2 linked regions of the Notamacropus eugenii genome follow. The protein of the gene in region 2 interacts with the protein of the main gene of each other region in a biochemical or structural test. Links are inferred from orthologs where the notes say so. Each region holds a gene or a part of one and is shown on either strand. Other genes may lie near its edges. The genes, in order: SLBP and DCAF11.

Region 1 (15,061 bases), on a different chromosome or scaffold from region 2:
AACACATAAATGAATACATATTAATAACCATAAACAAGTTCTTCTGAGGAGTCTCTACTTACACCTTCATCAATTTAGGAATAGCTTCTGCTAAAAGCATCAAACCTTCTGCATCTCAAAGAACTACCTAACATTCTATGTTCTAGCCAGGAATATTATCAATGCATTACGTTTTCAAGTTAAACTACATACGTAGTTTATAGCCTAGAATAATCTAAAGAAAAAAAAGAATAGCTTAAAGAATGTAGACAATCAAATTACCAAGCAAAGAGCTAAAAGTCAATATAATTAAGTACCTTGCAATTTCTTTATTCACTTTGGTTCTCATTTCATCCTCTTCAACTACACTTCCCCAATCTGTACATCTTGAATGAGGTTTGGGGCCTTCTGGTGTGGTAAAGCTGCAAAAAAAAAAACAAACAACAACAACACACAAAAAAAAACAATGAAAAAAGTAAACTGACAAAGTTCATACATTTAGAGATAACTTCAGTTTACTTTTCAAGACTAATTCAGAAAAATTCAAATTTACAGTTCAGATAAAATGAATTTTGAAATTTTGTAGCAATTTGTGAGTTTACATATAGGTAACTGATGGGTGCGAACAGGATGCAATACATTCTTAACAAAGAACCATGAAAGAGAGGTGGTATAAAGGAGGGTACAAATGCTTTAAAAACATGGGCTGGCAGAAATCCCATTGCTATACATATATCCCAAGGACAAGACAAAAAGTCTCAAAATCACCTAAATTTTGTAGAAGCACTTTTAAGGTACAAAAAACCTAAAAACAAAGGCAAGGAACAGCTAGAGTATTACATGAATGTCATGGAGTAACAGGGTGCTGTAAGAAACGATTATCTTGAATTAAAGCATTTTCTGATCTTTTTCAGTGATAAATTTGGTCATTAATCACAGAATTCAGTTTAGGTATTTTTCCATTGTATAGTATTAGTCACTGTATTATTTTTCTGGTTCTGCTCTCTTCTCTCTACACTGATTCATATAAACACTATTATTTCTCTCTGAAGAATTCAGAGAACTAGCCAAGGTCTTATGCTCTCAATTCCCCACCATTCTCCAACAGATTACCCCCCCCCCATACACTCTCCCAATTTGCAATATATTTCCCTGTTCCTGTCTGTAAAGCCTCTAAATATGTCCAGATGTCTTCCATCCTTAAAAGTCCTTCAATCCCACTTTTACCCCCAAGCTATTAATGTCTTCTTTACTAATCTTTCCAAACTCCTGAAAAAAGCTGCCTAAATTCATTGCCTCCACTTTCTTTCCTCTTATACCTCAAGACTTTGAAATTTGCCTTCCAACCTCCTGACTCAACTGAAACAGCTTTCCAAGTTACCAATGATCTCTTAATGGACAAATCTTGCTATTTCTCAGGCAACATCTTTGCCTACTCATCTGTCACATTTAATGCTGTTGCCTACATTAGGGTTTCTTTTTACATTTTCATAACACCAACCTTCTTTGTGGAAGTGGGAGACTAATGTATATATTGTAAGTTGATATGTTTTGCTGAGTTATTTTTCTTATTCTTTATCAAGAGGGAAGGATCTCTGGAGGTAGAGGAAAAGATATATTTGGAAAATAAAGGGATATAGGTCCAACAATGTTACTACCTTACTCAAAATCCAGAGGCGCCTTATTATCTCCAGGATTCAAATGAGATCCTTTTTAGCATTTAAAGCTCTTCACAATCTGACTTTTTATCTTTCTTGTCCTTTAACATAATACTTCCCTCTACACACTTGTGTACTTGCAGCTATATGTCCCTTCTCTTGGCTTCAAACTATCTCCCTTGCCTGGAAAGCTCTCCCCTCCTACCCCTTTGCCTTGTAAACCTCTGGCTTCCTTTAAAATTCAGCTCCCTTTGCCAAGAGTCTTCCCTGGTTCCCCAAGGTGCTAGTGCCTTCCCCTCTAACATTACCATCCATTCACTCTATATTTATCTTGTGGGTATCAATTATGTTTGTCTCCTTGATTACAATGTAAGCTCTTTGAAGGAAGGGACCAGTTGTTTGTTTTTTCTTTTTATCTTTAGCCCTTACATATTACCAGACACAAAGCAAGATTTAATAAATGCAGAGGTAGGAGACACAGAGGTGTCCTGCAAAGCAATTATTTTCAGACTTTTCCCACCCTGATGTATTGATTGGCTTTGCTGACTTTTTTCCTTTTCCTTTAAAAATACTATTTGTGATATGGAATGGCTCTCTGGTAGGGAGAAGAGGAAGAGATACAGGGGGGTGATGTAAAAACAAAAAAGTCAATAAAATTATATTTTCTTAAAGACAAAATAAAGATCTATGCAAATGAGCTGGGTGTTTGAGACTATTCTGACATTTACTAATTTTTGTTTAGAAGTGTCATCAGTTGGGTTGTGATATTGAGGAGCTTCAATTCTGAATAAACAAATGTAGGCAAAATAAAGGAAGAGGTTAGCCATGAAAAAAGAAGTCTTCTTTAGCATCTTTTATCTTAACCACGAGGCTGATCACTACAAATAAAATGATTTTCAACACCTTTCAAAAAGTTTCCTATAAGGTGATTATCATAGAAACAGGTACCAGTTTTAAATTCGTTAAATTTCCCCTAGAGCTTCTATTTTTTATATGATATATATTCACTTTTTATGTAATTAGGAGGTAACTTTATGTAGAAATAATGTAGAGTTTCCATTTTATAGCATAATATTTCTATTTCAAACTTTAGAAATTTGTAGTTACATTTTACAACACTGTCTAATGAAAGAATATTTCTTATGGGGGAAGGTCTACTTTGATAGTTCTTAGGAATACAGCCCAAAGAAAAATAAAGACTGTCTGCATATTTCAGTGTAAGACTCTGCAACCATGTTTTGTTTTTGGCAATGGAGCACAGTGGACAATGGTGGAGTCAGGAAAATACAAGTCTGAAGCCTGTCCCAAACACAGCTCTGTGACCCTGAGCAGTTAACTTCTGAGCCTCAGTTTCCTCACTTGTTACAATGGAGCTAATAACAGAACCTACTCTATAGTTAGTCAAGTGAGATAATCAAGTACTGTTTTAAAGTAGTTATTACTAATGACTAAAAATATTTTCACTAATTCTGCCTACAAAGAGAAACAATACACAGGTTAAATCAAACAGTAAAAGTATTCAATTTTGCCTTTTAAGGTCTCATTCAAATGAAAAATCATCCTACTCTATTTCAAACACAAGTCACAACTACCAGATTGTTCCATATAAGGATTAAGAAATATTATGGATCAAATTATTTGAAAAGTCACTTAGAAAATCATTTAAGATACTGTTCATTCATTCTTTAAAAAATTAGCCCAATAATTGTTGGTCATATAAAATGTAAAAACAAAACAAAAGGGTAAATTTAATTATTCAGTCCATTTCTACCAATTTACGCAATGCCTAAAAAATGACCCTATCACAACTAGTATGACCCTCTTCTCTACATCAAAAAGAATATAAAAAAAATTTGTTTCTGTTAATAATTTCTCATAGCCCTCTACAATGTCAGTTTATTACAATGTTAACACAATACTGAGTGTTTAACAGTGCCTAATAAATTTTTGTTTGTTGAAAGTGAGTTAGTACAAGTTCAAAGGGCAGCTAGGTGGAAGAAGTGGGTAGAAGGTGAGATCATGGAGTCAGGAGGAACACTCGAGTTCAAATGTGTTCCCAGACCCTTAATTACTTTACTAGTTAGCTAGGTAACCCTGGGCAAGTCACAATCTCAATCTGCCCCAGTTTCCTCATCAGTAAAATGGAGATAACATCTATCTCCCAGGGTAATTCTGAGGATCAAATGAAATGAATTACATTTGCAAAGTATGTTGCAAATCTTAAAGCACAAATAAAAGCTCGCTATTGTTATCAAACTGGCTAACAGCATTCAGTCTCCTCGAAATATTGAGACTCAATCCTGGAGAAACAAATGTTCACATCTTCTAAAAAGCTAACCGAAAGCCAAACCACAGACACAAACATAAATCCCACAGTTTTATCAACTTATCTTATCAATGGTCTCATTGTCTACAGTATGCTCTTAATAGGCAATCCTGGGTTTAGCAATACAAATTAATTAGCCTCAAATATATGAACAAAAAGTTCAATCATTTTAAAACCTGGAGAATTCTGTACCCATTTTCTTAACTGTTAAATTTCCAAATGCTTTTTGTTAAAACTTACATTAGGTAGTAAAATTTTTAATCAACTAAAGCATAACCCACAGATAGCAAGATAATTTTTCACACCTAATTTAAGTGACTAGACATTTTCCTGCAACAATTTGAATTTTAGGGTTTTAAAAAAAATTTGTCCAAAATATATTTTTGGAAATGCTAAAAGGTCCTAATATAGACTAAGCTTATGGAAAGACCTGGACAGAAGCTGCACAGAAAGGGCAGATTGAGATGTGATGCAGTAAGTGCTGCTGTTGGCAGGAACACCCACATCCATGATATTACAGATCCACTGGATACAAAAACACATGACATAATATAGTGTATTACTTCTTTAGGTCAATGATATTTAAGAATGACACGGGCACCAGGGAACATGGATTCTATAATGGGTTCATGTCAGAATGACCCTTGCTGGGTCCAGTCTCACTAGTGTTCCCACAGTGGTAAATTCAACCCAGCCTCTCCAGGTTTCTATGAATTGGGATCATATACTTCTAACCAAGTTTAAATCCTAACTCTCCATATATTTGTCAGAGTATGCAAACATGGATAAAGGTTGAGATGTGTTCAAGTACATCTCCCAAATTAAGCACTACCTTTTCCCCAAGTAGAAAGCAAATACTCTAGGAAATGGAAACCAATAATAAGGTTTGTTTCGAATATGCCAACTAAATAAACCACACAACTTTTTCATAAAATGAAGACCAATTAGTAAAAATAGAAGTATGACGTTTCCCTTCAAATTTTCCCATGGCCTAGATAGATACCTCCTCTTTTCAGCTATCACATTTTGGGTCTCATTTCTCCCAAATGGGATCAAATAATAAATAATTTGATCTGACTACATAATTTTCACAAAACCCTCATGACTGCCAGTCACAACTTGCACAAAGAAAACAGACCCCCATGGCAAAGTATGTTTCTCGCACCTTTCAAGCCTGTTGTCTGAATTTCGACATTCCTTTTCTTCTGCATGTCTAGATTTGGACTCATCTTCAACAAACAGAGATGACTCAACATTTTCTGGTTTTCTGTGCCTTCCATCCAATCGTCTTTTGCGTCCAAGAGACCACCGGGATGGGGATGGAGAAAGTGTGCTAGGAAAGAGAAAAAGTTAGACTTACTAGCTGATCTCTTCTAAATTAGGAGGTGCTCTGGAGATTAGATAAAAGTAAAAGTACTAGCCTAGGAAACAGAAGAACCAGGTTCTAAACTTGGCTCCCTGTGACTTTCGATTAGTCAATTCAGGGCTCTGGGTTTCAGTTTGTTTCCTCATCTAAGATAAAGCATCAATGTAGACTATAGTAGTATCCCTTTCAGCCCTAAAATTTCCATGAGGTTGGGTTTTTGGCCTAATAACTTAATTTGGGGCACACATGGAAGGGCATCCTTTGGATAGAAGCGCACCTCTTGGTTTGCGTGTTCACCCCCCCCCCCCCTTTCAACCTCAGGGCCAACATCCAGTTGGTGAAGCAGCAAGAACGTTCAGCTGCTTCCTCGGGGACATTATTTCTCCCACATTTTTTCATTTGTAAAATGGCAGATTACAAAAACCCTCCCCCCTTTATGGGGGTGGTGCAAATGAGAGCAGCAGACTGGCGCAATGGAAGGCACATTTTCAAGCACACAGGATTCTAATTCCAGCTATGCCAATTAATCCAAATTATTCATTTTAAAAATGACTGAAACGATGTAAAATTGATTTTCAGGAGCACAGGATTCCAATTCCAGTTCTGCCAAATTAATCTGATTTAACAAATTAAAGAAATTCTAATTTGGACCTGGAAAAGTGACTTCGCTAGTAAGAAAGCCCAGGTTCTCTAAATAAAATCCTTTTTTGGGGGAGAAGCGGGTGTATTACAGAGAACACGACACTCCCCGACACTCGTACGCAACACTCAGAGTACCCCTCCCCCCCACATCTCAATGGCTCAGTACCGGCAATTTTGAAACAGGATAAGATGATTTTAAGGAGGTTGGGGTCCCGGGGCCCGCCCCTCCCCCCCTGCGCGCCTCGGTTCCTTCTTCACCAAGGCCGGCCCCGGCGGGCCCCTCGGGAACGTGGGCTACAAAGAGGGCCTCGGGAAGCTCCCACTCAGACATCGATGGCCAAATTCCTCATCCCAAGCTCCCCCCCCCCCCCCCCCAGGCCCTTCCTAACACGCATCCTTCCCGGCGTGAAGGCGTCTTTTCCCGCCACCCGCATCCCGGGGAGCAAGAAGGTGGAGCCGGGGCCGCCGCGCAGGCGCACTAAGGCCCGGGCCCGCCGCTAGCCCAGACTAGACGGCGAAGGCGTCCGCCCGTCGTCGCCCGACTTACCCGCTGTCGCCGCCCCAGCAGCCATGCCCTGGGCTCGTCCCGGCACTGCGAGGACTCGGCTGCCGGCAATCCATGATCAGGTGTGCGGCTGGGTGGGGGACGAGCTCTGGCGAGAGTAGAAGTCCCGTCTGGACGTTCCCTTCCTTAACGTCGAGCAGAGGAGCTGCTCCAAAGCCGCTGCACCGGCGCAGACTGATTTCGCGCGCGAGTGGCGACTTCCTCCAACGGCTTTTTATAAGCCTTCTGCCCCACCCCTCCCCCACCCCCTCCACCGCCTCTCGCGAGCCTGGGACGAACCATCGAAGCGTGGTCAGGAGGAGGCGGGGAGTCTGGAAAAGAGGGCACTAAGTTTCGATCCGGTAAAAAGGACGAGGGAATTTCCAATTAACGTCGGGGCAAAAACGTAATAGGAAAAAGGGCACGCAGATGTATAGGAGGATAAACGAGCCCCCACAGGTGGGTTTGGGAAAGGCGCAAGCAAAATCTCCCCCTAATTCCGAATTAGTTCGACCCAGAAGAAGTCCGGGCGGCAGATCAGCGCGCCGCAGGCTCTCATTGGCTCCTTCTGCGCGGGCTGGGGAGGGGTGTTGGCGGGAAATTCTGAAGCCGAGAGCGAAGATTAAGGCGGGGAGGAGGAGGGGGCGGGGAAATGGGGAAATGAGGGCTCATGCTCATGGCTGATTGGGCCGAATCAATTCCGTCATCTCAGGGCGGGGACGCAGAAAAAGACCGATCTTTGGAAGCTCTGGGCCGGGAGGAGAGATGGAGAGAACCCAATTCACTTCAGCTCCGTTCCATTCCAAGCCCAGTGACCTCCTGACTGTATCCCGCTTAGAGAGGTCCAGATCATAGCTTACAGACCGTCCAGTCCAGTCTCGTTTAACCCATGGAGAAACTCGTGCCGAGAGAGATGACTTGTCCAAGGTCACTCAGTCAATCCAGGTGCCCCGAGCCTTCGGGCCCCTGGCCTAGCTCGGACAGGAAGCACCCCCCCACACACACACATCTTGACCACTAGATCAATCCACAATCAATCAATGACCAATCAACATCTATTAAGTACCTACTGTGTGCCAGACACTGGGATTGGTGCTTCCAGCCCAGGGCAGCGTCCAAGGGTCCAAAACCATTAAAGAAGCCATCACCCCCTGCTGTGATAAGGCGGGGCCCTTTCCTTCCGGCGTGCCGCTGAAACCTTGGCCTCAGCCTTTGAAGGTGAGCGAGCTCTTCGAGGTCGGGCCGGCGTCTGTCTGTGTGTTGCACACAGTAAGCCCTTAATAAGGGCACAATGCCCCCTGGGCGCCGAACGAGCAGCGGCTGCTGCTTGGCCTCCCCGCTCCCTGAGTCAGCAGGGCCACCAGCCGCCCAAAGAGCGGAGGCTTCCTGGAGGGGCCGGAGCTGGGACCCCTCCCCGGCCGGTGGGCCGTGGTGCCCGGTGGTGCCCACCCTCTTGCCCCGAAGCCTCTCCCAGGGACGGCCAGTGCCAGCCCCGTTGGCCGGAGGTGGCCGGGCACGTGCATGGGCCTCGCCTGTGACCGGGGCACGCGAAGCCGGCCGCTCTGCACCGCCCAAGCTGGTGTGAAAGCGGGCCGTGGGGCCAGAGCTGACTTTATACACCCCGGGTCAACAGCCCACTCAGCCTGTCATCTGCCCGTCACTGTGATGGGCACAGAGGACAAGGAGAAGTGCGAGCACCCCCCCAAACCCCCCAGTAACCGCAGTCTTCTAGAACCTCCGAGGATGAGGAAGACAACAGCGCACAGCTGCGCGCGCATGCGCTGCAGGCGCTCTGCCGTGCGCGTGCGCCGCGCCACCACCAGGGGCTTTGGCTGACACTGAGTACTCTCTTGTACAACGATGTTCGCGCTTTCACAAAATCGTCTCAGGTGAATGGTTTTATTTGTCTTTTGTTGAGGTGAGGAGGTGATCGCGGTTTCACCGCACGCACATCTAAAGCACAGATAACTGGACAGTCATTTATTCACCCGCAGACAGGTAGCGCCCGTAACGCACGAAGATGCTGGCCGCCACAGCGTCTCGGCGGGAGGCCTCGTTCCGCGCCAAGCCTCCTCGCGGGCCGCGCTGCTGGGGATTCCGTTGTCAGGCCTTTCAAAGCGGAGCGTTTGTCTTTCCCGCAGCCGCAGTAGGAGCCCACGTTGCCTACCAATCAGCCTGAGTGGCGGCTTTGTCTGACGGAACGGAAAGATCTTTATCCAGCTGGAGCCAAAACCCCAAACAGTCTAAATCTAAATGTTTGTTTCGACATATCGATTAGCCGTGCTCGTTCTGGTGAAGTCAGAGCAAAGGTATCGTGTTTGTTCATGGCGGATGAGATCCTTATGCCTTCACATTCGGAAGTGTCTACATCTTTAAAATAAAATGACCATTGCGCACGTATACCCTGTGTCAGATTGTTTACTGTGTTACAGAAGGGGGAGGAGAGAGGAAAGAACAGGAGAAAATGTGAAACCTCAAAGGGATGCTAAACATTCTCTCTACGTGTAATTGGGAAATATGCAATATTATTTTAAAATTTTAAAAAATGAGAATAGAGTCAAATGGCGAGCAAACATAGCTTTACTTCCTTCTATTTTATGTGTGAGGTATGTAGTTCCTAACATGAGAAACATATCAAAAATGTCATTTTGCCAACTTAATAACCAGAGGTTTCACTTCTTCATAAATTTAGTCACTTAACCATTTTAGATCAGAGTATAAATTTGAGGAAAGACCTTGCATTGATTTAGTTAGAGCGCTAAGTTTTTTCAAAAATTATTCATCAGATATTCAAGTTTCAGGAGACATGAGGAAGCCATATGATTCACCTCCCACCATGGGCAACACCAACATTTTCCCTTTGTAATGAGGGAATACTTTTATATCTAACCATTCTGTAAGCAACCGTTTAAGAGGCAAATGTTTCTTTGCATCTTACAGACAAGGCTTTCGAAAAAGGCTGCTCATCAGAAGTGTCAGATTTTCTCTTCTTTGCATGTGTCCTGGGTATTTAAACTGTCTTTAATCCACTTGAATTGTAGTAGTTCAGCTGCTCCATTGGATTTCCTCTTGTATCCATTAAGGAAGGATATTATTTCACTTTTTAAAAAAATTACAGATGATGAAATATTTAATGGAATTAAACTTAAATGTCATTGTTGACCATTTCAGAGGATTACCCATTCTCGCTCCTAAGTTAATTCAATTTTTAAAAATTGTGAGTTTTCTTTGAAACCAACTTATACTGTTTGCTCAAATGAATGACATTGTGAAATATAACAAATATTATGGTCCTCTTAACTTCCAGGAACCCTGAGGGTCTTCTCCACCCAGTTTGATTTTTTTTTTTTTTATTAAAGAGGTCATCCCTTGAGTAACTACTTAAAGAAGCCTATTCATTGAATGGGTGTATCTCACTCAAAGTGAGAATGTGATAAGACTTAGCCAGAAAGGGCCAGGGTCTCACATTGCATCCTGGGCCATCTCCAGCCATCCTGAGGAATTTCAGGCCACTGCACCCAGATGGCTCAGGAGAAGAAAGTGAGGTTGGTGACCTTGCACAGCCCTCCCTCCCTCAAATCAGTCAACTGCAAGTCATGTCATCACCTTGATGTCATGATCCTCTTTGAGAATGAAGGGCAAACACACAAAAAAACCCCAAGAAGAGCGCTTAACTTTGCCTTGGCTCTCTTCACAAATTCGGACCTCTGTGTCATAGGCTTCTGTGAACAGTGGTAGATCACCCTGCCTGTCAGGTCGATCAGTCAGTCAACAAACATTTATGAAGTGCCTACTATGTGCTTGGTACTGTTCTAAGCAGGCAAACAAACAGGAAAAAAAGTAGACAGTCTCTGCCCTCAAGGAGGGGAAGAAAACACACAAAAGGAAGTTGAAAAGAGTGTAGGGGTGGAAAAGTAAAGGAAAAGAAAAGGGGGGAGAAAATAGGGAAGGAGGGAGCAAGTGATGGAGAAATCCCCTGACTAAAATTTGACTTCATTTGTGTAATATACATATACATATATGTATATATTAGTGTATGATATATATTATAATATATGACATGTGTGCATGTGTGTATCCTTATGTATAGGTATACACCTTTATTGCATTCATTGTTAGTAGGATCAAATTTATTGTGATCGGATTGCTTCGGTTGGTTGTTTCAACTTTGTCTTCATTTTAAAAAAAGATCTATTTTCTGCAGAAGTTGTATTCTCAAATATTTAGTAATGTTCACCTTTGCTTATTGGTTTGTTTCTTTTTGCTGTTATTTAATTTTTACATTCATGTGTTCTTTTTAAAATGAATTAAAAAAAAAACCCAAGCATTTATTTTCTCCCACAACATTCCCCAATCCCCAGCAGAGGGAAAAGAAAAAGAAACCTTTATAACAAATATGCATAAACAAATCCCCAGTTTTGCTGGCCATTGTTTTGTGATACACTGACAGTCTCCTCCTGGGCTTCCCTATGGTCTGGAGGTAAACTCGAGTTCTCTAAGGTTATGATAACCGAGGAGAAGTTCTGGCAGGTTCTTGGGGATGTCTGGTATGCCTAACATCTGGAAGCTAACCTAGCTAAGTTGGGAGGCATTTATCACATTGACTGAATTTTTCTGGCTTCTCCTGAAACTAAGGTGTGAAAGAGCCATGTTCATTTTGATGGAGTGAAGTGAACATCCCATGAATAAAAATCATGGAAGCTTGATGTATTGGGGTGTAATGGCAGGACTGGCCAGTGGGAACCCAGTCTTTCGAGCCTGCATGATGTCAACCAACCTAGAGATTTGGTCAGCCTATTTTTGTAAGTGTGTAATGGAGCTGCCCTTCCCTGCTCTACTTCGTTGCATATGCAAGTATCCTATGGGTCATGTTGGTTTACTGCATGGCGACAGAAAGTCTTTTAAATAGCTGCTGATCTGGAGCTGAAGGTCTGGACTGACAGACCTGATTTCTCTTCCACCGGGGTTTTCAAGTGAAGAGGAACAAAGAATGGTGGATGCCATGGGGTTGTGGGGAGAGATAGCAGTAGTAGGAGATGCCCGCTAGATGTGAATGCATGTGATGCCTCTGTTTCTGTTTCTGTTGTGTTCATCCTTTTCTGATCTTAAATGGATGGATGTCAGAGATGGAAAGCTACAGCCTTGTGATCTTTGAGAAGTCATAAGAGCCACCAGAGTTCTGGCAGAATCCGTGCTGGCCAGAGCAGTCAAGGCTTTAAGGAACCAGCCCTGAGAGCAACCTGTTTGACCTAGAGCAGCAGTGAATGGACTTATTAGTCAATAAACATTTATTTCTTAATCCCCTAGCTGTGTGTCAGGTATTGTGCTAAGCACTGGGAATATCAGAGACAAAAGACAGTCCGTGCCTTGAAGGAGCTTACAATCTAATGGGGGAGACAACCCACAAACAACATGACTAAAACCACTCAACCAGAGGTGATATGGGTTTGCACCAGAGTGGTGACTGTGTCAGAGTAGAGAAGCCCACGCATTCTGGAGATAACTGCAAAGGTGAAATCAGCAGATCCTTAGCAATAACTTGGATATGGAGACTAAGAGTTAATGAAGAATCCAGGATGACTCCTAGGTTGGGGAGCCTGTGGAACTGGGAGAATGGTATTACCCTCTGCTGTAATAGAGAAGGGGAGAAAGGTGTGGGAATAGGGTTTGAGGGAAAGATAATGAGTTCTGTTTTGGACATACTGAATTTCAGGTGGCTACTAGACATCTAGTTTTAGATGTCTGAAAGGAAACTGGAGGTCAACGGAGAGATTGGGGCAGAAAAGGTAGATTTGGAAATCCTTGAGGTGGTAATTAAATCCAGGGGAGCTCATGAGATCACCAAGTGAAGTAGTAAAGAGGGTTCAGGACAGACCTTGAGGGACACCAAGGTTTAGAGGGTGTGATCTGGAGGAGGATCCAGCAAAGGAGAACCAAGAATGAGTGGTCAGAGAGGTAGGAGAAGAAACCAGAGAGAATGGTGTCCCAAAAAACTAGAGAGAAGAGCACATCAAGGAGGAGACAGTGATCAACATTGTCACAAGCAACAGAGAAATCAAGGACCATAAGGACTGAGAAAAAGGTCATTGGATTTCTCAACCAAGATATCACTGGTAAGAGCAGTTTTGGTGGAATGATAAGATTGGAATCTGGATTGTAAGGGGTTAAGAAGACAGTGAGAGGAGAGAAAGTGGAGACACCAGTCTACAAGCACCAAAGAGAGTCACCTCTCAGTTATGTCATATTCCAAGTGAACTTTGTGGACAGACTACTGGTAGTAACTACTTGGGGATTGAACCTACTCTCCCCGAGAGCTGTGGTGGTAAAGGAGAGTGTGCTCTCTGTTTGGAGACTGTTGTACCTTTTTAATAAATAATTGCCTAAAAGCTAACTGATGTTAATTGGCTAACTGATATGGAGGAGATATTTACTGATTTATTGATATTGGAAGTAACACACTGGACAAGGGCATTAGAAATACCACCTCCCAACCCTGGCAGTTACCCCCAGGACTTGGAGGGAAGGTATGACATATTAGCTATGTCAAATAGCTAATTCAAAACTATGGGTTTTCTAAAGATAATAAAAAGAGCAGCCACAGCAGAATAAATAGGCCAGCTTTAATGTGTCTTACATTCCTGGCCTGCAAAGCAGAAGTCCTATCTCCCTTCAGTGCAGGTGGGGAGAGTGAGGCCAGAGTGTACGTTCCACAGGAATATCACGGGTCTAATGGACACAGATGTGTCTAGGACATGATTTGATTCTCCTTCCCTTCTAATAAAAGTGTGTGAGAGGACTATACTTACAAATTCTATCTTCAAGATATATCTACTGACTATTTTAATGCTCTTCTAAATTATACATGTATTGATTTCTTTGAAAAAAAATATTTCTCTTTCTACTTAGCCTAGCTATAGAATGTGGGACTCATCAGATGGCCTAGCCCCTAGCCATGGATTTATATAGAGATAAGGTTTTCTTTCATTTCTGCATCTTCCCCTCACCCAGACAATGGATCTTGCCAGTGATAGATCTTCATAAGTGTCTGCTGAATTGAATTGAATCTTTCTCCCAGAATAGTTTATCTTAGGTAGCCACCAGCAAGAAAGGCCAGAGCATTGGCTTTGTAGGGGAGACAGGACATCTGCTTTGCTGGCCAGGAGTGTAAGACATTATTATGCTGGCTGATTTATTCTACTGTGGCTGCTCTTTTTATTACCTTTAGAAAACCCATGGCTTTGAAATAGATATGTGACCTACTCTGCAATATTGGGATAGATTCGATGGGAAGAGGCATGGTGTCTAGGAAACTTAGTGACTGGGTTGCCTTGGTCAAGTAATTTCCTTTCTTTGAAACTCATCTTTAAAATGGGAAATAACAATACTTGCACTACCTTTTAGGGTTGTTATGTGGAAATAATAATCCATAAACCTAGGGCAACTAGGTAGGTAGCCCAACAGTTAAACATGCTGAGTCTGGAGTCAGGAAGACTGAGTTCAAATCCAACCTCAGACACTTCAATAGTTGGGCGACCCTGGGCAAGTCACTTCACCCTGCTTGCCTCAGTTTCCTCATCTGTCAGAAAAGCTGGAGAAGGAAAGGGCAAACGAGTCCAGTATCTTTGCCAAGAAAGCCCCAAATGAGGACTCAGACACCACTGAACAACACCAGAACCAGAGGTGTTGCTACTGCTAGTACAGCATTAGTGTTTATTATTTGACTTCTTGCTTTGCTGCACTCAGGAACAGAAAGCATCTGAGCATTGCTCATTCCCCCATTCTGTCTTTCCAGATGCCTTTGCACTGCAAGGACGGTATGTAAGCCCTTAGATAGGGAAGACCATAGAACGGAGGCCCGGAAGGAACTTGGCAATGCTCCAGTCTGATCCCATTATGGTGAAGTGGAAAAGAGCACTAAGCAGGGGTCAGAGTTGGATCTGACTCATACCTGAAATGGGTTCGACAATCCCTGTACAGTCAGCCTTGTGGGTTGGTGAATGGAAAGTGCTTTGTAAAAGTCACTATGGAAATGCCCATTATAACCACCTCAGAGACTATGAGCAAAACAATGTTTGCTACATGAGGTTTCCTAAGATCAAAATTTTAAAATGTTGGAAAATTATTTTCCCTACTCCTTGTAAAAATGTAACTTGAGGGAATAGGAAAAAGCAGACTTTTTTCAGTCTGTGATATTTAGAAAAAGTGCAGAGACAGACATAGATAAAATATTTTTGCAATTATTTGTTTATGCAAAGTGATTCCATCCTTAAAAGCACCGAAATTCACTTTTGGTCAAGTTCCTGCTCCTCTGTGTTTTCCCTCCGGTGAAATGAAAGGGTTGGATCAGGATGTCTCCTAGGCCCCCTGCCAGCTCTGATATGCTGTGTTTGTATAGTTTGGACTTCCTTTCCACACTCAACATTCTGTGGTCTGTGACTTTTCATTGCCCATTTCCGATATTCTGTGATTCTGGCTAATTTCCAGCCTCTTGTTAGTTTTGTAACAGACTAGGGATGGGAAGCCATTTGTTTGTCAGGGACTGCGTT
Region 2 (14,900 bases):
ATAAACCAGCGTAGAGAAGCCTTTCATCTCCTTCTTTCCCTCCATCTTCTGTCTACGCTCATTAACAAGCCAAAATGTGAAACTGAAGACTAGTTTTCACTGTTTCTTGTCTTATAGGCTCTGTTTTTAGTTACAAAATTAACTCAGTGGAACATTTTATAGTTTTCTCTTCATCTCTCACCCTCTGCCCCCCAAACCCAACAACCCAACTATATTAAGTTACTTCTTACATAATCCAATTTTTTTTTCTCCTGGGACTTGGCCTCCTGTGGAAAAAATGGTATCCCACCTTGTGGGATACCTGTGGTGATACTTACTAACGACCTTGCCAGTGGAGCAACCACTGTAGATGTAGCGTTGGCCAGTGCTGTGGGCAGGGGAGAATCGGCAGCGGATAAGGGTGTGGAGCACACCATGACCCCGGTATGTCATCACGGAGCTGTCCCCAGGGAGCTTCAGCTTCTGCCAGGCTATATGGAGACAAGGGGAAGGGGTTAGTGGGCTCTTCTGAGGAGCAGCCAAGCTCCTGCATGACTGAGAAACCTCCTGGTAGAAGATGTGAACAGAACAGTGGAGTCACTAAACTGTGCCCTCTTTGACTCAGAAGTATTGGGCATAAACTGCAAAGTGGTTAAACAGAACCAAAGGACACATATTTATGCCAGAACTTTTTATAAAAGCAAAGAACTGGGAGCAAGATAAGTATCTATTGAATATGTGGCATATGAAAGTAATGGAAAATTATTGTGATATAAGAAATTATAAATATGAGGAATTCAGAGAAAACTGAGAAGACTTGTATGGACTGACAAAAAGTTAAGTAAAACTAGAAAGACAATTTATATCTTGATCAAAACAATACAAAGGAAAACAACTCTGAGTGACATTCTTGCCCCTTCTGACATCAGAATTCTGATCGATGGGCTCACCAAGCTTGACTTCAAGACCATGAATGATGAGATATACCTCATTTCTTCTTGGCACAAAGAGTGGTGGTGACTACAGGTTAGGAATGAGGCACATGGTGCCAAATATGGACAATACATTGGTTTTACTTAATTGTACTTTTGTTGTGGGGGAGGGGCGGAGGTTGGCCTTGGAGGGTAAGATGCCAAATGTCCTTGGGAAGCAACATAAACAAGATCAATAGAACCCTTTAAAAATGATGCCAAAATCAACTCTTTAAAAATGATGCCAAAATCAACTCCACCTTTTTTAGGCACCTGCTGCCAACGGTAATCCCAGTACTCTTGAATGGCTGCCTGCCGCGAGGCTTCCATGCCCTCCCGACCCGAAAAGCGCCGGATATCCCACAGCTTTATGGTCTGATCTTTGGAGTTGGTGATGAGGTACCGGGCATCACCCTGTGAACCCATGACCACAAATCAATACAATCAACGCAACATTTAACACAATCATTGCAGTCTTGGGTCTTGCCTTATTTTTCCGGTCAATTGACAAAAGCTATGTCCCTCTGAGACTGCTCCCTATTCTCACTGAATCAAATTCATTTTCTGGTATTTCCCTCAGACCCTACCTCTTAGCCAGGTGTTTCAACTTTCTCAGGCACCGGCTAAGTCAACCTACTGATGGTGGCTTGGGGACCTGATCTAGTATAGGGAACCCTAATCCTTGGGGACCAGTAAGCAGAAGCAGGTCTTATGCCCTGGGGTTTAACTTCTTTCCCTCTGTTCACCTTGCTGTCAATGAAAGTGATGCCATCTCGGTGCCCAGCCAGTGCACCCACAGGCTTGGGATCATCCTCACGCATGGTGCGCCTGTCCCAAACTTTGCAAATGGCATCATCCCCCCCAGAGAACAGGATATGGGAGCTTGTATCAGCAAAAGCCACTGCATTTACATCGTTATCATGGGATTCCATCTAGAGAAGGGAAAAGACAGATATTTGAATATTCTAGCCAAAAGGAGATGGAAAACATGACGTTTAGTTCTCAGGAATAGTACCTGCAACACGCGGCGGTTCTGTTCTCGATCAAAGATGTAGAGGCATCCGTTATTGGCACTGAAAGAAAGTGGTGTGGGCTGGGTAACAACTGAGTCAGTATTCAAGAAGTAACTTCTTTGAAGTCTCTGGGGAGAACTTGTGAAGATTTTATGTTTAGGGCCAGGTCCCTAATTTCACACAATTCAACTACTATACAATGGAGAAAAGCTGGTTCAAAGCTGAGAAGAAATTTAAGGTCTCAAATTCCACAATGAGAAGGGACTAGGAAAGAAATGGGAAAAATTCACCTGAGAGTAAGCCTGGTTGAGGACCTATGAGATGACTGCCTAGGGGTGTCAGAATGTAGGCCTTCTCAAAACCAGGCCTAACCTCCAGATTAGAACTTTTTAATTAACTGTGGAGAAATACCAAAATACTCACCCTCCCAGCACCTCTCGCCCATCTGAGGACACAGCAATGGAGAAGACGATGAAACTGTGTTGATCTGGCCTAAAAGAGAGTGAAGAATTTGTTAGACAGGAAGACTTCCCGTTGAGTCTCTATTAAAGAAAGCCATACACCCCATTTCTGGAGGGAAACTGAACAGGGTCCTGCTTACATGTGTCAGAATGAAGGGATGTCTCAGAGAACTTGGAACTTCTGCTGTATCCATCTACTGCATTCTATTCCTCCCAATGAGAAATGATATGTAGCTCCCACCCAAGGGCTCTCCCACTCAGAGAAGCAGATAGTCCCTGCATTCTGCCCTCTCAGCGTGTGCCTCAGTTTCAGAGAAATTCATTATGGAAGGCCTTCCCTAAGTTTCTGGTGGGTCTAGCTGAAGAGGGAAGCCAGTACCTCAGATCCAGGGCAGTGTGTGTGTCTCCCTCCCCGTAGATGTTGCAGATATGAACTAAGAAGCAAGAGAGACAAGAGTCACTCGAAGTTTGGGGATAGGGCCTGTGTAGCTTCAGAGGGCAGAGTAAGATTCAACAGGTAGAAGTTTTAGAAGAAGCAGGTTTTAGCTCAATATAAGAAAGGGCTTTCTAATCAATTCTGGCTATCCAAAAATGAAAGGGAATGCTTTGTAAAAGTAATGAGTTCCCTCTCATTAGACATGTTCAAGCAGATGCATCTGTTAGGGATGTTACAAGGAAGATTTCTTCATAGGTCTGTTATGACATATAAAGTCTCTTTCAAGTCTAAGACTTTATAAATGAAGTTAGAAGACCAAAGGAGAGAGAAGGCACAAAAAGCGATCTCCATGCCAATGGCGGAGGGGTGAAAGCTCATTCTGAGAGTGTGGGCTTCCTGTAATGGAGCCTAAGGACCTAGCTCAGAGGAGAGATCCTGGGAGATGGAGGTTAAAGGGTCCAAAATGGAAAGATGAAAGGGCTGGTGGGTATACTCACTATAATCAGACCAGCTGGAATAGAGGAAGTGGTTCCCATCAGGCGTAAAGGCTACATCTAGAACACTCCAACCTACATCCCGGGCCTTGATGCTCTTGAACTTATGGAAGCAGCCATAGCGGCAGTCATACAGTCGAATTGTCTGGTCTGAGAATTGGGAATAGATAGGTTTCAGGAAACTTTCTCTTTTCACCCTTGGCCACCTACTACAGCTATGAGATCTTCCTTCTGATGCAGGGTATTCAGAATTACATCCTGCTGACATCTCCCAACCAGAAGGCATCTTGGAACAGAGGCTTCCCCAATCTATGGGCTGATGGGAAATTGTTCTCTGTGCTGGGGTTGGGTTCGTGGTTCCCCATTCAAGGGAGTGGTCACTGGGTCTAGGTACCTTGGCAAGCGGACATGAAAATCTGACCATCCTTGCTGTACACGCCACAGAAAGCCTTATGGAAATAGGAGTCAGTGAAGCTCAAGTAATTGGGCAAGAAACTGAGAAAAAGGAGAAAAATAACAGTAAGAGGACATCAAGGTAAGGAGGTATTGGTGTCAACAGCACCCCAGATACACCAGTACATGAGGTCCCTCTTCCCTTTGCTCAGAATTTTTTTCCTTATCCATACTACCAAGTTTTAATAAAAAAAATTATATTCCTTACTCAACAGCGGTTAACTTTCTCATTTCCTCCAATAGCAGTAACTCTTACCCTTCCTTCCCAACTTTAACAACTCCAACTTTCCCTATTAATATGTCCACTTCTAATTTTATGGTATGGTCCCATCTACTTGTCCTCTGGACCTTCCTCAAATCTGGTCCCACTAAATTCAAAATGAGAGTACCCTGGTCCCAAACTTACTGAGACACTACACGGGATCGCTCCCCAGGAGAAAAGCTGCCATGATGGCAGAGGCCACGTTCTCTCTGCAGGGAAGAGACAAGAGAGTAAGGCCACCATACACGAGGTACTTCTGCTGCCAGCTTCAAACTCTTTTCTCTAGAGTTCACCTCATTCCAGGTGTAGTTGGCAGAACTTCTGACTGCCCTTCTGTACCCCCCAAATAGCTAACACATTTACAGAACTCTAACATTTGCCAAGTGCGTTCTATACACCAGCTGATCAAGCCTTGAAACTTTGTGAGGCAGGTGCTATCCACATTTTCCAGATGAGGAAACTGAGGATGAGAGGGTAAGTGACTTGCTCAGAGTCAAACAGCTGGCAAATGTTTGAGACAAGGTTCCAACTCAGGTCTTTCTGACTCTAAATCAGTTCTTTATCCACAAAGTGCCTAGCTCAGTGCAGGTAAGGGAGCCTACCTGGTGCAGCATTCGAGGAAAGCTCTGCTCCTGCACTATCCTACTGGATCCCAGCTGCCCTGTGGCCAGCTCTACTTGCGTCTTGATCTCATTGCACTCCAGCTCTCGGGTGTCTGGGTTTGAATCCACTGTAAGAAGAAGCAGCAACCCTGCCTCAGCCTTTCAGTCACAGAAGACAGACGTCAATGAGGATGAATGGCCAGGAAGGTGACCAGCGTAAAGGAGGATGGAAGGAGGTATGAGGTTCAAAGGACTCTTCATCTCATTAACTGATCTCTCTCCCCACCTCCTGCGGAGCCAGACTTTGGGCCGACTGATGCCTACGATGCTGGAAGCCAAGCACCCTTTCCTCTTACCAGGTGGGTTGTATCTGTCACCAAGACGACCCTCCCAGGGGCTGTCATTGTCATCATCTGAGTCAGAGAGCGTATGGATGAGCTGCAGGCTGGTGGCACCACCTCCCTGTACCAGTCTCACCTGGCCCCTGTGGAGAGACCTCATGGCAGGGGGTGATCCCTCAATACTAAGCCACTTCACCTCAGAGAGGGAATCTCGGGTGCCCTTCTGTTAGCGGGGGCCCCAAGAGGACGAGCTTTGGGCATCATCAGGCTGCAGAAGCCCGCTCTCGGGAGGTATCTCAGCAGACTTCTGGCAACCTCAGCCGAGATTCCAGAGCCAAAGTCAGCAGCGGAATGCCTGACCACCAGAAGAGTTCTGCCTGTACAAACAACTGCGGAGGGATCTTCCAGCTCAAGTCCACGGTCGCGGCCGACACGACCTCGCGGAGCCCCGCCCCCTTCCCTTCCCCTTTGTTTACTTACTTGGCAAGTCGGGCACCTCACTACCACAGTGGGCATGTCACTGTGCCCCCTTCCCCACGCACAGCGCCGCCCTCTCTTGGGGAAGGGCCCCGAGGCCGGCAGGGCTCCGCGCGGATGGCGGGGCTGGGGGCCCACGTGGGGGCCCACGCACGGCGCAGAGCCAGTTACCTGGGGAGGAAATAGGCCAGATCCACATCGTCATCTTCCTCGCTGTACCGAGGCTCATATCTCCCGTACGGCGAGGCCTCCGAGGCGCTGCTGTTGCCCGGCGAGTCCATCTCCCGGTCACTGCATCCTCCAGCCCTCCGCCGGGGCCTCTTCACAGCAGGGGGCCCTTCCCCTCCGCCAGTGACAGCTCCCAGGGCTCCAGGGAGGCCGACGGAGCTGCAGCCTGCGGAAAGGGGCGGGGAGGGCGGCGATCACTCTCCAACGCCAGGAGTCGCAGCCCTCGCCGGGAGATTCCTTAGGTTCACCTCCGAGCTCACCTAGCCGAGCTCCAGGGGGAAGGGAAGGGAGGAGGAGGGGGAGATCCCCGGGAGGCCGCCAATCAGAGCTCTCCTGGAGGAAAGCAGCCTGCCCACCAATCAGAGAGCGGGCCTGCTACAGCCGGCGGAGGCGAGAGCCAATGAGGTTAGAATCCGGCTTCGCAGCCCTCCCCCTCCCCTCTGACCGCCCTCCCCCTCCCGCTCAGGGCCACGTGGTATGTCCGGGGTGTGTACGCGGGGTTGGGGGGGGAGGTTAGGGTTCCTCCCACCCAAGAGAGGGGTTAATGCCTGGCCCGCGACTCTTCACTCACCAAGGGCAGCACATAAAACCTAGGCGAGAGGGCGGCACGTGAGGCCCGGCTTATATTTATCCACGGCGTTTCTCCTAACGGCTCTAACAGATTTGTGCGGCTTCGTCACGCAGCGCTCCGATTCCCGGGCTCGCCTCCCGCTTGCGTCACGCGATCGGCCAATTGGCCCCGCCCACCCGAGTGCGCTCGCCGGATGGCGGGTCCGAGTGATTGACGAGTGGGCGGGACTAAGTGAGCTTGTTGTGGAGGGGAGGAGGGGAGGACAGCGGGTGAAAGGGCGGGGCGAGGCTGGAGGGGACGGGGAAACCTTGTTGACTTTTGTTTCCGAGGGCTGGGATAGGTAGGGAACGCGGAGGGTAGGCGCGGCCGCGGATTCTTCTGGGGTGGTGCTGATTGGCGGAGAAAGGGAGAGGCGGGATATGCTAATACCTAGTCGCGGATTTGCTAGCCAGGCGCCTGGGGGCTGGCCTTCGCCGAGCACCAGCGGCATCATTTGAAGTCGGTCCCTAAAGCTGCCAGTTCCCCGGGATCCACACTTTTTAGACGGTCTCAGAGCCGCCCTTTCCAGCACGTTGCCCTCCCGGGCCTGCGCGCGGGGCCCAGGGGCTTTTGTGCCTTTAGTAGCCGCCCAACGGTGTGGGCCGGCAGCGTGGAGCTCCGCGAGCCTGCCTTCTAGGCCGGAGCCTGGCAGCCGGCCTGCCCTACCCACCCCGTGGCCCATTCTCACCACACTCCCAGGACAGGCACCCCTAAATCTGTGTGCTGGGGCTCAGACGGACCCGCCCTAAAGATGTCCGCCCCGCCCCTCCCCCTCCGCCCCGGGCCCTGGGGAACGCTCTGGACCTTGGCGTTGCTCTGGGGGGAGGCCCTCCCCCACCCCTCCCGCACCCCTCCCGGGGTGTTTGTGGACCTTCTCTGCCGGGGTGCGTGCAGGGTCCAAGGTCGTGCCCCTCTTCCCTCCCCACCCCGACCAGGTACCCGGCCCCCCTCCTTGGCTCCGGGTTGATGTGTAACTAATTAGGGTCGAGTCCAAGGCCGAGGGCCAAAGTCCCTTTGTTGTGCTGAGCCAGCGCGGCCCTTCCTCCGAGCCGGTGCACCGCGCGGGCCCCGCCTCCAAGCCCCCCTGCTGGTGCACCCCCCCCCCCCTGCTGGTGCACCGCGCGGGCCCCGCCTCCAAGCCCCCCTGCTGGTGCACCCCCCCCCCCCTGCTGGTGCACCGCGCGGGCCCCGCCTCCAAGCCCCCCTGCTGGTGCACCCCCCCCCCCCCCCCTGCTGGTGCACCGCGCGGGCCCCGCCTCTATCGGGTGATCTGGGTGGATAGCGCCCTAAAAGTGGAGCGGTGGAAGGGAGCCTCTCGGTGCCGCCCCCGCCGCCCCTGCCCGAAGACCTCCGGGGACGGAGAGCCCAGCCCCTTCGAGTGTGCCTGGCCCCGCTCTCCATCGAGCCTCCGAATCTTTGCCTCCCATGGCGCCGCCTCCTGCCTTCCAGAGCTGGACGCTAGGAGAGGCATCCACCCACTCCACAGACAGCTTTTATCCCCCTCCCTCCTCTCCTTTTTAACTGGGATCGTTTTACTTGTGCCCGTTTCGGACCTAGCTTAGCCACGTAGGTTGTATAGCATGAACCTGGTGTCTGTAGCAGGCACACGCTAATCGGGTACAGCGCTGTGTGGCAGGCGCTGGCGAAGCTTTCTTTATAAATAGTTTGTCCTTGCCCCTCGGAGAGGTGGGGGCTGCAACTGTCACCGTTGTAGTGCTGGGTAAACTGAGGCAAACAGACTGGGTGACCTGCTCAGGGTTCCACACCTGGAAGGTGCCGGAGGCTGTCTTCGAACTCAGGTCCTCCTAACTGCAGGTGCATCACTGCATGCCCTTCCCCACCTAGCTGTCCCTAAATAGGAACTGTGGAAAGAGTGGAGGAACTTCCGACCCACCGAGCAGGGGCCGTCTAGGCAGCCTGGGTTGGAAGCTCCTGACTTGGGGATTCCCTTCTCTTTACATCTCTGCTCTTCCCAAGTTCGCTCCTGGTTTTGCTCCTGGCACCAAACAATTGTCTTTACTTCTGCGCTACCTCTACTCCCTAAATGTGTCTTTCCCAGGCTAAGCAGCCTTACTTGGGTCCTGAGGCTGGGATGGCATTACCAGCCCACTTACCTCCCGACACGCCCTTGACTCTAGGCAACACTAGTTTTCAGTCTTTCCTAAAATGCCATTCCCAGATGTGGATACAGTATTCCTGTAGCAGCCTCCCTGCAGCGCAGTGTGATGGTCCTTATGCCTCTGGACTCTCGATGTAGCCTGAGAACTAGTTAGTTTGTTTCACCTGCTGAGTCTCATTGCAGACACGTGTCAAGACCCACCCAGCCTGGGATTGAGATTCTAGCCTCCACTGCTCATTAGCTGAATGATGCAGTCACCTAAACTTATCCCTAAAATAGGGGAAATGCTTCCCTTACCTACTTCATGGCATTGGAGGAAAATGCCAGCAAGATGCTTGTGGGAAAGTCCTTTTGTGAAGTAGCTGTAATAAGCTAGTTACAATAAGGTGTGATTATTACTTAAAATAATAAAATTATATCTTTGGAAAACATAATTTAGACTTTTAAATCATATTTCTCCTCCACTCTGAATCAGTGAGGCGCCACTCTACAGTCGTTGGCCTTTTGTTGCTTGGTGAATGTTCTTTTTGATGTGCTTCTGTACTGTTTCTCCCCAGCTGTATGAAAGGGAAAGGACCTTTTGTTTCTTTTATTTCTGCCCGCCTTCTCCCCAGTGCCTTTCCCCATCCTCCACATATCCTATACTGAATAGGTTCTCAGTGTTGTTGACTGCCTATCTTAGGTCAGCTTTCCTGCTCACTAGCATCTCCACCAGAGGGCAGATGAGGGAAGCCAGAATACTCAGTGGGCTGTTTAGATTCCTGACTGTACCAGCAGTCAGCCTACCTACTGCCCTGAATCATTGGGCAAGTGCACTTCCCTGTAGTTTGGAACAACCTGCGGAGTTTTCATGTAGTAAGGAATGCCAGCGCACCTGCTTATGTTGTTTATTTCATACTCAGCCCTGGCCACGAGGAAGAAGAACATTTTCTACCAATTATCTTTGGCTTGAAATGTCCTAGACCAATCTTACCATCCTCATTAAAATAATTTATCAAGGCTTAATTGTACATCATACTGTACAAACTGTGAGAGATACTTTGTGCTTCAGGTGCTGTTATGTACCTGAATGACTACAAGGTGTGGCAATACCTGGCAATACCTTTCCCTTTGTTCAGATAATATGTTTCTAAACCTTGTAATCGTCTCTGCCTTATCCCTGCATACTAGAACAGGACACAGGACTGCAAGTGTTGAAGAGAATTTTACCTTGAAGTTATTACGTGCTATTTATGAAACCCTTGATCAGAATTTTTAAAAGAGTAAGCAACTGTGGTAGTTGAAGTTGTTTCACTTGAATGCCCTATTTCCTCCTCTCTCCTGTTTGTCTTCTTTCTAGTTTTGTATTAATTTTGAACTTTGCTCTATCAAGTTGGTAGTCTGACTGGATACAGACAGTTTCCCACATTAGTAATGAGTGATTCTCTGTCTGTTAAAATATTTCATTTTTTGTTATATCATTTGCTGTATTAACCTCCCAAATCTTCTTGAAGTTTTCATTTATATAGATATGTGACATCTGTACATTCAGCAAATCTTTGGCTTTCCTTATTTCTTATTCTCGAAACATTTTCTAGCATTTCTGTGCTCACTCTTGTACTGAACTCACCAAGTATCAAAGTACATATTGATTTGATTGGGAGGTCCTTTTGATAGTGTAGGATGGCTGTAAGGTGTGGAATACACACTCTGAAGGCCTGAAGTCAAGGGTGCCCCAGAGGACAATAGAGAAGCCAGTGAATGAATGTGAGAAGGCTGCAGTGTGTTATAAAAGACAAACGGTACAGGAGAGGCAGGGTAAAGGATATCATCAGGGAAGTGTTGAAATATATCATCAAAAAAAAAAAAAAAGGTTGAACTTGTCATACAGTGACTGTAAAATGAAGGCACTAGAATATAATGCCCTTAAGGTCCCTTCCAGAGGAAGTTCTCTGACCGGGAGGGATAGATGGTTGGCTAGTGTGTCCCACTGGACTCCTTACAATTACCTTTCTAGGGCTTTATCCCAAAGAGATCATAAAAATGGGAAAAGGACCTACATGTACAAAAATACTTATAGCAGTTCTTTTTGTGGTGGCCAAGAATTGGAAATCAAGGGGATGCCCATCAATTGGGGAATGGCTGAACAAATTGTGGTGTATGAATGTAATGGAATACAATTGTGCTATAAGAAATGATGAACAGGTGGACTTCAGAAAAAATGGAAAGACTTATATGAACTGATGCTGAGTGAAGTGAGCAGAACCAGGAGAACATTGTATACAGTAACAGCTGCAGTGTGTGAGGACTAATTTTGATAGACTTAGCCCTTCACAGCAATGCAAGGACCTAAAACATTTCCAAAGAACTCATGATGCAAAATGCCATTCACCTCCAGGGAAAGAACTAAGGAGTTGGAAGACAGAATGAAGTAGACTATTTCCTCCTCTGTTATGTTTTGGTTTTTTTTTCTCATGGTTTCTCCCATTCGTTTTAATTCTTCTATGCAACATGACTAATGTGAAAATGTGTTTCATAGGAATGTCTGTGTAGAACACATATAAGACTGCATGCTGTCTTGGGGAAAGGGGAAGAAAATTTGAAACTTATGGAAGGGATTGTTGAAAACTGAAAACAAATAAATTAATAAATTTGGGGAAAAAAGAACAAAAAAGCAGTTCTCAGTACATTGAGTAGACTCCTGTGTCAGATTTATAGGAGGCCACAGATTTACATAGGATAGGCAGGAATGTATTTGCTTTTATCTGTAACATCAGATGTTGATAAGATCAGAGAGCCACTGGATTATTGGAGTGGGATTGTGTTCACTTAAAAAACCCAACTACATATTGTACTGTTGACGTGGTTTCAGCGTGTGGTCCATCATGACCCCTAGGTCTTTCTGTTTTATTTATACATCCATTCATCTTCTATCTGATTCAGGACTATTTTTTCCACTTCCCTAGTACCTTCCCCTGAAGGGATTTCTGTGAATTCCATTTTATTAATTGGATCTTGGTCTTATTATCTGGGTACAAGCCACCAATGACACCTCAGCATCATTTATAAATTTACTAAACATATGTCCAGGAAGTTAATGGATGAAGATATTAAAAATGTTTATGCAACAGAGAAGATACTTGAGACATGAACAAGAAGAGGTCATAGGATCATAAATGTAGAGCTTGAGGACACCTTGTTGGTTATCTTGTCCAGCTCACTTGCTTTTAAGTCAAGGAAAGTGAGGCACAGAGAGGTTGTGACACATGTGCTAAGAGTTAGAACCATGATTTGAACCCAGGTCTTATGACTCCAATTCTAGCACTCTTTCTATTGCCTCTAGAAATGATCCACAGGACATGGAAAAGGCCAAGTTTATTGCAAGTAGAACCAGGACTTTGTTGTGTGTGAGGTTCTGAACACTTCTCTCTTGAGATAGGGAAGAATTGAGTTTGGAAGGTTGGAGAAAAGGTGGGGCATTGGGGAGCAGGGTCAGTAAAAGAGGAAGAAATACTAGGATTTTCTTTATATTGCTTCAATATTAAGTCCCCAACTTTGGGATTGACTGTGGGTTCTATGACTCAGGTTCATAGATTTAGAGTTGGAAGAGGCCTTGGAAGCCACAAAGCCCAAGCCACTTCTTTTACTGATGAGGAGAATGATGCTCAGAGAACTTAAGCGCCTTATTTAAGGTCACACAGATAGCAAACGGCGGAAGAGGTATTCAAACCTGGGTCCTCCTAACTCCAGATCTAGCTCTCTCTTGCTGTAGGCCTTCTGTGTTGGGGTAATGAAGGTCGCACAGTGCTCCCCTCCCTCCTTCCCCTTGGGCTCTCCCCAGTAGCAAAGTGCAATGCTAGCCATGGTTCATGCAAACAGCTTGGAATTTTTTGCAGGCTGGATAAGCAAAGACTTTGATGGGGATCAATTGAGGGATTGGGGGGAAGAGGATCATAGAACTGGTGGAGAAATATTGAAAATAGTGAATAACTATGTGCATTGATAGTTAATGAAAGCAATACAAATTTTATGTAAAATAAAGAATACTGTTGAAACAACAGCTTAGACAGTGTGTATAACAACCACATCCTGGTTTGTGGCCTCGATGAAAGTTGTTAGTCAAATCAAAGTTGCTCTTATTTTTTGCAACTCTCTCTGTAGTTCTCCTGCTGAAAGGAGGTGACTAGTACAACTTCTCTTGTTCTATGTACGTTTCTCTGGCCTGTGTTCCCAGATTACATTTTTCGTATTCTCCCCTCCAATGCCTCTAACTCAGCCAGTACCTCCCGGGGCAGGTCCTGGTTAACCTGCTCCCTCAGGTAGCTTTGTATTTCACGGACCTCCTGCTCCCAGAACTCTTTAGGCAATGAAAACAGCTCAGAGAAGTCCACAGACCCCAAGCCACTCAGATTCAGTGCCCCTTCCTTTGGCACTAGACCCACTGGTGTCTTTTGGGCACTGTCCTCACCCTCTAGCCTTCGGCAGATCCAGTCCAGCACACGAGAATTCTCCCCAAAGCCTGGCCATAAGAATCGGCCTGCTGCATCACGCCGGAACCAGTTGACATGGAAGATTCGGGGAAGTTGGACTCCCTGCCGCCCTTCCATGCTCAGCCAGTGCTCCAAATAACGCCCAAAATTGTAGCCAAAGAAGGGCCGCATGGCAAATGGATCATGCATAATGGTCTTTCCTGGGAATGTGGAATAGGATAACAGGTTATTCTCCTTGCTTGGAAGGAGAAGGGGGTACCTCTGCATCAAGATTAGAGGAGCTATGTAATAGGTGAGATATTGGGAATCTCTCAGTACATGATGAAGGTGCTGGATGGTAACAGCTTTCCCATGGGCTCCTTGGGGTTTGATATTAAGGTAGATAGGGTCAGGAGATAAAGAAGGGCTTGAGGAGGCCTAAGGAATGCTCAGTGATTGGGGTCTGCCTAAGGAGGCAAGGTCAGGAAGTGGGATGTGGCATTAGTGATGGGCAGTGGGACTCACCTTTGTGTTCAGCTGCAGCAGTGGACTCAGAGCGCATGGCACTACCCACAAAGACTCCATGGCGCCAATTGAAGGCTTCATATACTAGGGGTACTCCTGGGAAGCCAATTAAGCAGATTACAGACAGCCTTTTTCCCAGCCCTCAACCAATCCCCCTGCCTATCATGTTCCCTCTAGTGCCCTACGGATCAACTTGGACCCACTGCCTTCCTTTCAGTCTCTAGTCTGATATCTCTAAGGCAGGGCAGATGGGAACTCTGAAGAAGGGTTTCTTCAGTTGAGAATCTGGACTGAAGGAACTCAACCCCTATATAGAACCAGATCACTGGGTCAGAAGGCAGATTCTCAGTACACTGAGTCTGCACAGACCATACCTTTGGGTCGTCGACCTCCAAAGATGATGGCATCGATGGGTACTCCCTCAGAGGCCTCCCATGCAGGGTCCATGATGGGGCACTGGCGGGCCGGGGCACAAAATCGTGAGTTAGGATGTGCACAGGGCTCCTTGTCACCTGACACCGAGACAGACACTTTTACTTTGAATCCAACTCTCTCTATATATATGCCCTGCTGTTTGTCCACAACTCTTTTTGGTAATTCAGATCAAGATAATAGGCTCCTTCCCTGACTCTGGAGAAGAGAATGTTCTTTCTTTGATGCTATGACTTGCTGTTTGCCGATGAAAAAATGTGAGAGTACCTGGAATCCATCCAGGACCTGGGGCTTGTGATGTGACAGCCCCCCTTGCAAATTCCTTGAGTTAGAATTAGACATTTATCCCTGATGTGATATTAGGAGATTCTTTTAATGTTCTCTGCTCAGACACTGACTGGAATATGAGAGTTAATTCTTGCCTTGTTGAGTGGAATTGACAATATACAGAAAGCACTTAGGATACATCAGAAAAATGTATTATGACCAAAGGTGGGGAGATGCTCCAAAGGGAAACCTCTGAAATCTGTAATGAGTGTAGAACACTGCTCTTTCTAATCCAGGACTTACAGGTCAGATTTCTGGGTTGGGAGACACCTGGATAACATCACATACTCCAGTTCTGACTGCTTACCCGCTCCCATCCATTCCTCCCTTAGTACCCTGCTATACAGTATATATTTGGGAACTGGGATTAGTCATAAGACTCCATAGTTATACTGCTGGATCCAAATATGATGAAAGGTTTGGGAAACTGACCTGTGGGGAAAGATTTAATTTTCTGGGTTTCCTCCGTTGAATGGGAAGGGTTGGGAGTGTGGTATGGAACTTAATAATGGTCTTTGAGAAGATGAGGGTAATTACATAGAGGAGGGTGACTGTGATAATAGACCCTGAAAGGATGAATATAGGCTGTTGGAACCACAAGGAGACCATCCTTCCATTATATTCCTCCCCGCTCTGACCCACACAAGAGTTCTGTACTTCTTAACTTCCAAGGGACAGAGAAAGCTAAGGGAGGGCTCAGAACAAGGATCCAAAGATGATGA

What was found.
Region 1: the proteins of DCAF11 (region 2) and SLBP form a complex in vitro, tested with the Homo sapiens proteins (2 studies listed by BioGRID, with this or other methods). The link is inferred for Notamacropus eugenii from reciprocal best matches to the Homo sapiens genes DCAF11 and SLBP.

The regions. Positions count from the first base shown.
Region 1 is NC_092877.1:50,011,215-50,026,275, forward strand, and holds the start of SLBP (histone RNA hairpin-binding protein), read right to left. Parts: upstream 6,750-15,061; 5' UTR 6,593-6,749; coding exon 6,519-6,592; intron 5,297-6,518; coding exon 5,129-5,296; intron 402-5,128; coding exon 297-401; intron 1-296. UniProt on the Homo sapiens protein: RNA-binding protein involved in the histone pre-mRNA processing.
Region 2 is NC_092878.1:9,158,087-9,172,986, forward strand, and holds the start of DCAF11 (DDB1- and CUL4-associated factor 11), read right to left. Parts: upstream 6,459-14,900; 5' UTR 6,289-6,458; intron 6,019-6,288; exon of another isoform or gene 5,884-6,018; 5' UTR 5,771-5,883; coding exon 5,661-5,770; intron 5,156-5,660; coding exon 5,028-5,155; intron 4,800-5,027; coding exon 4,672-4,799; intron 4,279-4,671; coding exon 4,214-4,278; intron 3,850-4,213; coding exon 3,749-3,849; intron 3,505-3,748; coding exon 3,358-3,504; intron 2,859-3,357; coding exon 2,804-2,858; intron 2,456-2,803; coding exon 2,387-2,455; intron 2,024-2,386; coding exon 1,966-2,023; intron 1,883-1,965; coding exon 1,697-1,882; intron 1,365-1,696; coding exon 1,211-1,364; intron 471-1,210; coding exon 318-470; intron 1-317. Other genes in the region: PCK2 (phosphoenolpyruvate carboxykinase [GTP], mitochondrial), read right to left, coding at 12,661-13,115, 13,420-13,515, 13,794-13,931. UniProt on the Homo sapiens protein: May function as a substrate receptor for CUL4-DDB1 E3 ubiquitin-protein ligase complex.